Xenopus tropicalis: one gene and its partners. The protein of the gene in region 2 purifies or fractionates together with the protein of the main gene of each other region. This does not show direct contact. Links are inferred from orthologs where the notes say so. Each region holds a gene or a part of one and is shown on either strand. Other genes may lie near its edges. The genes, in order: exoc6, exoc8 and ralb.

Region 1 (3,655 bases), on a different chromosome or scaffold from region 2:
TGTTTCTTCTTTCATCTGGCATCCAAGGCCTGGCGAATCTAATTAGACTGAACTGGAAGATCCCAGATAACACTTACCTGCATAGTATCAGCAAACACAACAATCAGGTTCTTAAGCTCCAGGACAAGATCGGGGTCAGTGCAATACGACTACAAAGAAATGAGATTTGTTAAGTGTATTACAAACTGTGCTTAAAAGCTGCACCTTGTGCTAAATCGACTGGTGAGGAAAGATGTGCTGAGATATTGGGCTCTGATCTGATACCCAGGTCTGCAGATAATATCACAGAGGTTTTAATGATAACTTTTTTCTATGACCAAGAGATTCTCACTGCATGCTGTGTATAAGTGCACAGTTTTACTTGGAGTGACAAAAATACCCCCTGTGGGGGGATCTATTATTTATGATGTGACCCATAGCTCTCCAGCTTCTGCTGAAAAGTGGCTCTGTATGCATACATATAAGCTGTGAGCTGCTCAAGAGAATACTCAGTTAGTTGCTTTCATTTACCCACATAATTGTCATGTTGCTTTCATTATTTTAACTGCATTAGACCAAGATAAAGTATTAGTTACAGTTTGCTACCGCACTATGGCATCTTTGCAGGGTCACTGTGTATGAGTCTGCGTGTATACATGAAAGTTATATAAGTCTGTATTTCATCAATAGGCCTCTTAGGTCTCACCTATCCATGCAGTGAGGGGGCAGTGCAAGTAAAGTGGGATTTTAACCCAGTATGTCCAGAATGGAGCACATAGGGCATAAGGGATCCTTAGCACTCTGCACCTAACAAACACTGGCAGCTCTGTATTCATGGAGGAAGTATGGCTATTCATTCTCCATTCTGAAGCACAAACATGAGTCCACTTTTTGTACTTTACCCTGCACTTTGTAAATAAGGCCCTTAAAGACTCGATTTTGCACCCCTCAACATTCTAGCATTTGGATTCAGGGCCTTTGTAAAGAAGGCACAGTAAGTTTTCAGTGTATTGTAACAGATTTGTATTTATATATTTCTGTACAGCAAATAATTCACCCATAATAAACTGGTCCTGAAAGGTCTTATCTCTCTTCGATTATCACTGCCTGCATCATCCCAGAAGTTACGTTTAAGGGGAACTTCCCATTTCAGTGAATAAACCAGAAAAAGTTTATTTTGGGAACAGGGTATCTGGCGCAATCATCTGAAACCATTTCCTGGTGGCAGTCTGAGTGCTGACCTATTCAGTTTGATCTAATGAAGGCCAGTTGAGGCTAATGAGGACAGATAGCCTTAATAACAGCAGATTAACTATGCATATTCTAAAGTACTACACTATGCTGTAAGGACCCAGTAACTTGTAAATCAGAGAAGGATTATGCAGATAGCCCTCAGCTGTGGCTCACAGCTTGAACCTCCCGGGAACACAAAAGCCCTGGTAGCACTAGAACACAAGCCCTGACTGCTGAAGGATGCTGGGAGTTGCATGTATGTACCTTTCAGTCATTACATAACCCCACCAGGTCAGAATTCTGCCTTTCTTACCGAGTGCGTTCGAAGGACAGCTATGATCTTCGACTGCGCCATATTCCATAGTTCGGTGGTGTAAGAGCCAGTGACGAGCCCTTGTGTTACATGTAAAATATGATCTTCCACAACAAAAAATCTGAAATAAAGGGGAAAAAACTGTTTATTCAAATTAATGTGTCAGTAGATTTCACATTCAATAACATCATTCTAAGAATATTCATGGTTGGCGTATCTGTACATTTGGGTGAAATTTTATGGGTAAAGCAAGGCTGATCTTTTATTGTGGAAGGCATTAAGAAACGTTGCCATTTCATTTAATAAGCCCTGACAGGGGCAGTCTTTGGGCAGAGCAGAGATGGGCACCAACAACAGGGAACCCACAAGGGAAAGAATGTTGTGTGGTTCACTTACTCAGCTGGGGCATTTCATTTCTATAGAATGATTTCCATATGATGATCAAAACCCATGAGAAATTTCACCACTTGATGCTAACTCAATGGTACCCAACCTGTCCCCAAAGTACAACTCCCAGCATTTTGTAATATGTAACCAAGTGTCTGACCTTGCTAGGGGCTGGTTGAGACTAAAGGGTTGGGACCTACTGTTGGATTCCATAACGTATTTTAAATAAACCACCACCCTGTTCTAGACCTGCAAACACTGACTAGCATCATCTAGAAGACCCATCTAAGATTCCCATAAATGAGAGCCCCAAAGATCCGGAGTAGTAGCTGGCAATATAGCTAGGATTTAGGCCCACAGCAAACAATCAATAGATATTGCATAGATATTGCACTTGATATTGTGGAAGTGAATACGGCAGATCTTCTTCACAAGACGGCACCAACTGAAACTCTCTATATGCCTTCAATCTTGAAAAGAATATCAATATAAAACATGGTGAAAATTCACAATGCATTAAAATACTCACCCTGCAATCTGACTGAAATATTTTCTGTAACCTTCAACAGTTTCATGCTTTTAAAACAGAGCACAAAAAAGACACACATATATTAATACATATCAAGTTGTGGACAGTCAAGAACAATATTCTCTGAAAGAAAATCAGTTTACCATGGTGGACTGGGGCTGCAGGACTAATCTCGCTTGTTTTCTTCTCTGCTTTCTGTAGTAGTTTTCAAATACTTCTTTATCACCCTAAAACGTAACCACAGAGAGAGACGTTAATGTTCCCCAGATGCTAAAGAGCAATTCGCCTAAATATGATCTGAGGCTGCAGCTTATCGCTCTCAGGCTGATAAGGAGCCAAGAAAATGATAATTTGATACTAGTTATAATTTGATTAAACCACAATTCTTACTTAAACTGATCAGAACTCCCGCTGAAAATGAATTCTGAAGGCAGTCTATTGCTAAAATCTGACTCCTGCTATGGTAATGTCAAGAGAAAGGGACAAACATTATAGCTTACATGAAATAGGGTAGAATCACATTCATATAAATGTATTTAGAAGGAGTCTACTCTAATTAAGACATATAATATTGCCAATGATGTTTTTAGACTAGTCATGTAACTATTTAAATCCTGCACAGGTTGTAGTTGTACTTTGTTGTTGCTTTTGTTACACAATCTAATGTGCCCTTTATTCCTCTGTGGATGTGTGGAGGAACGCATTGGACAAACATGCTTGAGAAAGGGTGCAAAGAGCCCATAGTATTGCTCTTTTTCAGTACATTGCCATTAAGCATGGATAAAGACTATTTTAATGGAGTGCTGCTTAGGTGTTGTAAGTTGCTGTATTTGACCCTGGAGCTAGTTCAGGAGCACATGTCTGCTATAACTGGTGTGCCATTCCTATGATCTATTTGTGTGTGACCAGAACTGGAAAACACCACTATGAATGATGGTCTTTTATCTTAGTGGTGTGTCTGCCAGTTTGGCACTAATGGGGGGATGGGCTCTGGATTTCAGGAGGCATGGAAAAAAACCTTTAAAGTGCCATGGACACTAATGGTTGGTACCAGTTTGATGGTATATCTTCCTGCTGCCCATTGTATATTCTATTTGATCTCTGTTAAAGACTTTAGTCTCTAGCTGATCCTGTCTGATCTCTGTCTGCCCTGGCCCATTGCCTGGACTTAAGCTTGTTAGCTCATCACCCGCCCTTTTACCCTGTGTATAACA
Region 2 (3,755 bases):
TCAAGTTTGGGGGGTGTAGCTTCAAAGCTGTAAGTGTGGCAGCAGTTTGAAAATCTTCCCTGTCAAAGTCAATGGGAAAATTGGGGTGTTCGGAGCAGCGCCGCAAAAAGACGGAGGGCCGGATCGCTTAGAAAAGCACAAGCAACCTGCTCCGCTATAGGGCGAAGAAGTGTGGGGAGTTTGGGTGCTGTACCCCTAAAACTGTAGGAGGAGTAGCGTTTAGAAAATGGGGGGCGCTAAGAAAAAGAAGAAGAAGAAGCGGAAGAAGAAGCCAAAGTTGAAGAACAGTATGTTGGGTTGGGTTCAGATGGGGTTTTTTGCCTTCCTCTAGAAGTTAGGCAGGTTATATATAGGCATTATGGTTGAACGTGATGGACGTATGTCTTTTTTTTTCAACCCAACTTACTATGTTACCTTACTATGTTTTTCATTGATGGTCTTTTTTCAACTCTATGTAACTATATACACATATATAGTAAGCTCTTTGCAGCATCTTGTGTAAGTTATTGGCTGCTTTGTATGTAAAACTGTATATTCAATGTATTTACCCATTTAGTGCACAGTTCTGCTGAATATGTTGGCAATTTATAAATATGTGATAATAATCTCTAAGAGATACAAATACAAGACCAAATGGCTTAGGGCTCTGGCACACAGGGAAATTAGTCGCCCGCGACAAAACTCCATGTTCGCGGGCGACTAATCTCCCCGAGTTGCCATGACCCGCCATCCCACCGGCGAACATGTAAGTCGCCGGCGGGATGGCACACGCGGTGGCGCGATTTCCCGAAATCGCCGAAAAAGACTCGCGAGACGTTTTCGGGAAATCGCGCCGCCGCGTGTGCCATCCCGCCGGCGACTTACATGTTCGCCGGTGAGATGGCGGGTCATGGCAACTCGGGGAGATTAGTCGCCCGTGACAAATGAGATTTGTTGCGGGCGACTAATCTCCCCGTGTGCCAGAGCCCTTACATATACAGACAAAACTTTTCAACAAAATCAATTAACAGTTACAAATGGTTAGTGATAAGAGCTTACGTGATTTATTCAACCACCAACCAAGATACAAATGATTAACAATCAAAGCTAAATCAATGATAATAAGAGTATTACAAGTCACACTAGTGCCCCACAACCTGAATAATAGCACGTAGTATGTGCCATTATTATGCCTTCAGATAAAAAAAACTCCATTGAAACGTCAAATTAAAATATATTCGTATAACAAGCACATCATTTCATTGCATTAATACAAATTACATGCGGCATCCCTTGTAGCAACTACTGCTATACAGTGCGACGCCACAGTTACAATAACACATTGTAAATCTCTTTATATTTACCTCCCGGGTGTTTCCAGCAGGTTTTTGCATCCCTCCACCTTTTCCAGCAGAGTTGTAAGGTTCCTGACCTTTCCCTCTTCTGCTTCCTTAGGAAACGCTGCCTGGAGTTCCCGGGCGGCTTCAGAGCGGTCTGTATAAAGCAAGGCCTGGGTGACGCTCTCCATAATACTTTTTTGCTCAGTTAGAATGTGGCTGAGTTGGTACATCTCCCCTTCCAAATAACTTATCTCTTTGGCAGTTTCAATGAACTGACGGTAGTTCTGATACACATTACGTTTAAGACTCTGAGCGGTCTCATCTGCCAGGCTCTGAATGCGCTGTCGGTGCTCTTGCAGGTCTCTATCCCCGTCTGATTGCTGTGACAGCAGTTTCACATACTGTTCTGCTTGAAAGCTGCTAGACTCCAGCTGCCGCCTCAATCGTTGCACCGAACCACCACCTTCTGCCATTTTTATAACCCAAATAAAGCACCGGTTCAACAGAAACAACGCACAAAACAATGTTTCAATCTGTCAGCAAGATAATGAAGGCTACAAATTGCATGTACGCTTCCGGGCGTATAGGATAGGCGGAGCAACAAAACACAGTCTTTCTTCGTTCAGACTGCGCTTGCGCCTCTCTCCTTATTGTACGGAAGCCCGCTGTGAATTTGAAGCGCAAAATCTTAGTAGTGATAAAGATTTATTTTACATCATCTTGTCTCATTTGTCTTTACGTATACAAACTTAAAATGGGTGACTATTTCTTTTAACGGAAAACTTAAAAGCTTTGCAAAAAAAGCAGTTAACAAGTGTATTGTACTAGGTTTGCCACCAGCATTGATGTCAACTCAATTCCCCCAGTTTGTCCAGTTGTTACCAGGTTTTAAACCCCACCTCCCCACCTCCAGCTGCTATATCCATTTCATCACTGCGGATAGCACATACCCCCCAACTTTTAGAAAAATATAGAGGGACATATAGAAATGCTGCACATAGCGCAGCATTTGAACACATTTCTTGGGGTTTCGTTTTATGTGTTATTACAGTTTTGCTAAAAAAGGTGAAATTGCCTTTTAAAGAATAAGTAAACTTTTTTTTCTATTAATAAAATTACTCTAAACAGCTTCCCAGAATTGCCTACCTTTGTCCCTCTTTTCTTTCTGACCTGGTTCCTCAGTTACAAGATGATCCATTCCACTCCTTCCTTGTTCAGAGTGAAGCTCCGCCCCCACTTCCTGTTTGGGTCTCTCATTACATCAACTACCTGTAGTCAAATTGGAGAGCCTTCTGCACATGTCTGGAGGCAGCAGGAGCCAGTCTGTGCATTAGCAGGGTTTTTTTTTTCTTGATAAGAGACCTGAACAAGAGTGGGGGCGGAGCTTCACTCTGAACAAGGAAAGAGAGGAACCAGGTCAGAAAGAACAAAGGGAAAAAGGTAGGGAATTCTGGGAAGCTGTTTAGAGTAATTTTATTAATCGAAAAAAAAGGTTTACTTATTCTTTAAGCTGCAAGTCTCAGTTGCCCCAGTTTAGCTTATTAATTACAATTGTATCTCAGTGCAGGTGTAGCTTAACTTTTGTTGGCTCTCTGCCAAAAGCCTACTTATTTAGTTTAATTTAGAGAAACTTTGTATATTTTTTAGCAAATTTTTTAGAGACTTTTCAGTAAGAATCTGGGACTGCTGCTTGAGCGGTTAAAATCGGGACAGTTGGGAGTTATGGCTCAGGGTTGCCATCTGGCTGGTATGTCGGTGGCCTTGTGCATTAAAATGATGAAACATTGATGAAAACATTACTAACGAAGAACAATAAAAATGTAGTAAGGCTGATATTTTTTTTCCAAAAAGGGGGAAACTCTTACTGTGTAAAAAAATATGACAACCAAATTCAGCACACATCACCAGGCTTCGCCGTGTAAAAAACTAACGTAAAATCTAATGTTCAGACAGCAAACTTCTCCATTTATTTTACACAGCTTTTTATACTGTTTCTTCAGCATATTTCGTTTTTAGGCTGATGTCAGACATGGCGTATTCTTGGCAAGCTGAAAATATGCCCGCTACTGTAAATGCGTCCTACCTGTGCCTGCACCCGAATAAATGAGATATGCTCAGGTTCAGGCACATGTAGGCAAATGCAGCACATAGCACAGCAAAAATTTTTTGACGACACCCATTTTTCCAACCACACCCCCTTAATACCACTCTCATTTTACAAAATTTGGCAGGTTATTCAAAGTTTGGACACATTTCTTGGGGTTTTGGGGTCTTTTTATGTGTTATTACAGTTTTGCTAAAAAAGGTGAAATTACTCAAGTTGAAATTTATTTGCGAACATGCAACGTTTCGGAGCCTTTGTCAAGGAGCTTGTTGCTTGACAAAGGAGCTTGGCTCTGAAACGTTGCATGTTCGCAAATAAATTTGCGAACGTGC
Region 3 (3,755 bases), on a different chromosome or scaffold from region 2:
CAGCTCTAATGGGCACCACAAGTACCCCCCCCCCACCCTGATTTACTGGCACCCCATTGTCTTACTGCCGGCACAGTAATGTCACTCACTTCCACATGGCCTTCATTGTGCTCTGTACACTGGTTGCTAAGGCCACTGCATCTGGCAACCACTGTCCATTCTTGTGTCTACATCTGCTATTCAGAATGCTTGGGAACTGGTAACTATACCAGCTTAGTATGGCAGCATAGGGATTCCCCTGTACTAAGTACAATTCAGCAGGAACAGCCCCCTAAGTTTGCTCATAGCCTGTACAGAGAGATACCATAAAACTATGGCACATAGGGATTCCCCTGTACTAAGCACAATTCAGCAGGAACAGCCCCCTAAGTTTGCCCATAGCCTGTACAGAGAGATACCATAAAACTATGGCACATAGGGATTCCCCTGTTCTAAGCACAATTCAGCAGGAACAGCCCCCTAAGTTTGCCCATAGCCTGTACAGAGAGATACCATAAAACTATGGCACATAGGGATTCCCCTGTACTAAGCACAATTCAGCAGGAACAGCCCCCTAAGTTTGCCCATAGCCTGTACAGAGAGATACTATAAAACTATGGCACATAGGGATTCCCCTGTTCTAAGCACAATTCAGCAGGAACAGCCCCCTAAGGTTGATTTAACACCCTGTACATACACAAGTATTTGCACTGATAAAAAGAGTCCGTTCATTAAAATACTCCCCTGAGAGTGTAACAAATGGGGAAACTACTGAAGTGCTGAGAATCCCCAGTCTGATGTACCCCTATTGCTGTAGCACAGGGAGGAGTCACACAACAACAACACTGGGGGCAATAAATATGGTGCTGACTTATTATAGGAAAGGCGGCAGCAGCATCACAAGGGAGTCACTGGGTCTCATAATTAAAGGCCAAGGGCACAAAAAGCAATAAAAAGTGCCCCATGGGGCAAACACTGCTTCTGTGAGATGTTTCTGTATTGCAGTATGGCACCCCAACGTGTGTCACATGGGGCCGAGTTAACCCCTTCCACTCAATCAGAACAGCAGGGGAGGGACAGAGACTGGCCCAGGGTCTCAGAGACAGATCAAGATTTGCCTGAGAGTAATTATAACAGTAACAATACTCCAGCTTGGGAGTTACTCCTGAACTACAGCTCCCATCACCCCTTTCCCATGCAGGCAGTCAGCTGGGAGTAGGGAATGAGTGACAGGGCTTTAGGGGGATGCTGGGAGTAGGGAATGAGAGGTAAGTAAGTCAGTAGGGGATGCTGGGAGTAGGGAATGAGAGGTAAGTAAGTCAGTAGGGGATGCTGGGAGTAGGGAATGAGAGGTAAGTAAGTCAGTAGGGGATGCTGGGTGTAGGGAATGAGAGGTAAGTAAGTCAGTAGGGGATGCTGGGTGTAGGGAATGAGAGGTAAGTAAGTCAGTAGGGGATGCTGGGTGTAGGGAATGAGAGGTGGGTAAGTCAGTAGGGGATGCTGGTGTAGGAATGAGAGGTGGGTAAGTCAGTAGGGGATGCTGGTAAGTCAGTAGGGGATGCTGGGTAAGTCAGTAGGGGATGCTGGGTAAGTCAGTAGGGGATGCTGGGTAAGTCAGTAGGGGATGCTGGGTAAGTCAGTAGGGGATGCTGGGTAAGTCAGTAGGGGATGCTGGGTAAGTCAGTAGGGGATGCTGGGTAAGTCAGTAGGGGATGCTGGGTAAGTCAGTAGGGGATGCTGGGTAAGTCAGTAGGGGATGCTGGGTAAGTCAGTAGGGGATGCTGGGTAAGTCAGTAGGGGATGCTGGGTAAGTCAGTAGGGGATGCTGGGTAAGTCAGTAGAGGATGCTGGGTAAGTCAGTAGGGGATGCTGGGTAAGTCAGTAGGGGATGCTGGGTAAGTCAGTAGGGGATGCTGGGTAAGTCAGTAGGGGATGCTGGGTAAGTCAGTAGGGGAATGCTGGGTAAGTCAGTAGGGGATGCTGGGTAAGTCAGTAGGGGATGCTGGGTAAGTCAGTAGGGGATGCTGGGTAAGTCACGTAGGGGGATGCTGGGTAACGTCATAGTAGGGGATGCTGGGCAAGTCAGTAGGGGATGCTGGGCAAGTCAGTAGGGGATGCTGGGTAGTCAGTCAGGGATGCTGGGTAAGTCAGTTGGGGATGCTGGGTAAGTCAGTAGGGGATGCTGGGTAAAGGGTGGCATGTCAGTAGGGGATGCTGGGTAAGTCAGTAGAGGATGCTGGGTAAGTCAGTAGAGGATGCTGGGTAAGTCAGTAGAGGATGCTGGGAGTAGGGGACTAGTTCCATTACACGGCTGTGGGGAGAAGCCTATGGACCGGCTGAAGTGAGAGTGAAGATATAAGGGGGTGCCGGTAGAAGCACAAGACAAACGCCGCCCCCCCCCGCCCCACTCACCTCCTGGTCTCCCTTCGCCGCTCCCGGTCCCTCTCTTGCTCCCAGCTCCCCGGGCGCGGCTCCTCCTCCCCCAACTTCCTGCAACCGCTACGGGTCTCGGGCTGGGACATAATTACCAAGCGCGGTACGCTAATGGGCGTGGCTTTGTGTGGCGCCAACGTCCCGCCTCCTCCGGCGCATGCGCACCGCTGTATTCTACTTTCCCTCAACTTGTGTGTGGCTTCCGGTGTTGTGGGACACGGGTAGGGTTGCCAGGTTAGCGGTTTTCCCGCCAAATTGGGCTACTAATTTAATGCCCTGGCGGGTTTCCAAAGTACAACCCCCCAAAGGTGCAGGTTTGGGCTATTTTTTGGAGCCTTAGCGGGTTTGTAGTTTTGAAACTAGCTAACGTTTTTCCCTCCCTAGTGTGCCTGTCCCACTGCATGCTGGGTAATGTAGTTTGTATCTAACAATTAGCCTACAGCAAGGATTTATATAAAACTACAATACCCAGCATGCAATTGGACATAGGCTCAACCTGTCTGTTCTGCAACCTGCTCCCTGCTCTATAGGGAATGTGATTGTACTGTTACTTTCTACTGGGATGTGGGGCAGTTCTACCCCCTGCTCTATAGGGAATGTGATTGTACTGTTACTTTCTACTGGGATGTGGGGCAGTTCTACCCCCTGCTCCCTGCTCTATAGGGTATGTGATTGTACTGTTACTTTCTACTGGGATGTGGGGGTAGTTCTGCAGTTTGTCATTAAGCTATAACTCTCAGGGTATCTCAGGGGCTGCTGGGAGTTGTAGTTCAATGTACCCATATATATATATATCATATCTGGGGTTAATGGAACATTCTGAATCCATTTCTGTAGTGACTTCCCAGCTGGACTGGGCACAGAGGGAATTACCAGCCATCCCAGTAACTGGGCAGTGATTATACGCTTTAATAAGGCAGGTTTCCCCATATATACTTGTATTTTTTTAGAATTTTTTTCATTGCGTATATTGGGCTATTTTTGGGCTACTTACAAAGTGGCTTTTGGCTAGTTTTGGGCTGGTTTTAGAACTGACTTTGGCTAGTTTGGAAAAATAAATCTGGCAACCCTGGACATGGGATATAAGCGGGGGGTTATGGGTATCAGCGATTGCAACCGATCCGAGCTCATGTGGGTGATAATGATTCATTCTTGAAACATTATGAGAGGAATTATACTTAAAAACACATGCATACAAAAACTGCCTAATTTTTCTGAATGCAGATAATAAGCTCTGTATAAACAAAGCCCCCCTTCCCTAAGCTGCTGCTCATTATACAGAGGTTTTGTCTATGGGCTGGTCATTTCTTTTATTTCCTACATCTCTGCTGATGGGGATCTCT

Evidence for each region.
Region 1: the proteins of exoc8 (region 2) and exoc6 purify together in Homo sapiens (affinity purification with mass spectrometry; 4 studies listed by BioGRID and IntAct, counting the BioPlex papers as one, with this or other methods). This does not show direct contact. The link is inferred for Xenopus tropicalis from reciprocal best matches to the Homo sapiens genes EXOC8 and EXOC6.
Region 3: the proteins of exoc8 (region 2) and ralb purify together in Homo sapiens (affinity purification with western blotting; 6 studies listed by BioGRID and IntAct, counting the BioPlex papers as one, with this or other methods). This does not show direct contact. The link is inferred for Xenopus tropicalis from reciprocal best matches to the Homo sapiens genes EXOC8 and RALB.

What each region holds. Positions count from the first base shown.
Region 1 is NC_030683.2:25,436,017-25,439,671, forward strand, and holds part of exoc6 (exocyst complex component 6), read right to left. Parts: intron 2,669-3,655; coding exon 2,585-2,668; intron 2,489-2,584; coding exon 2,442-2,488; intron 1,647-2,441; coding exon 1,526-1,646; intron 150-1,525; coding exon 78-149; intron 1-77. UniProt on the Homo sapiens protein: Component of the exocyst complex involved in the docking of exocytic vesicles with fusion sites on the plasma membrane.
Region 2 is NC_030681.2:58,002,750-58,006,504, reverse strand, and holds the start of exoc8 (exocyst complex component 8), read right to left. Parts: upstream 2,514-3,755; 5' UTR 2,466-2,513; intron 1,985-2,465; 5' UTR 1,793-1,984; coding exon 1,344-1,792; intron 1-1,343. UniProt on the Homo sapiens protein: Component of the exocyst complex involved in the docking of exocytic vesicles with fusion sites on the plasma membrane.
Region 3 is NC_030685.2:89,161,467-89,165,221, forward strand, and holds the start of ralb (v-ral simian leukemia viral oncogene homolog B), read right to left. Parts: upstream 2,458-3,755; 5' UTR 2,392-2,457; intron 1-2,391. UniProt on the Homo sapiens protein: Multifunctional GTPase involved in a variety of cellular processes including gene expression, cell migration, cell proliferation, oncogenic transformation and membrane trafficking.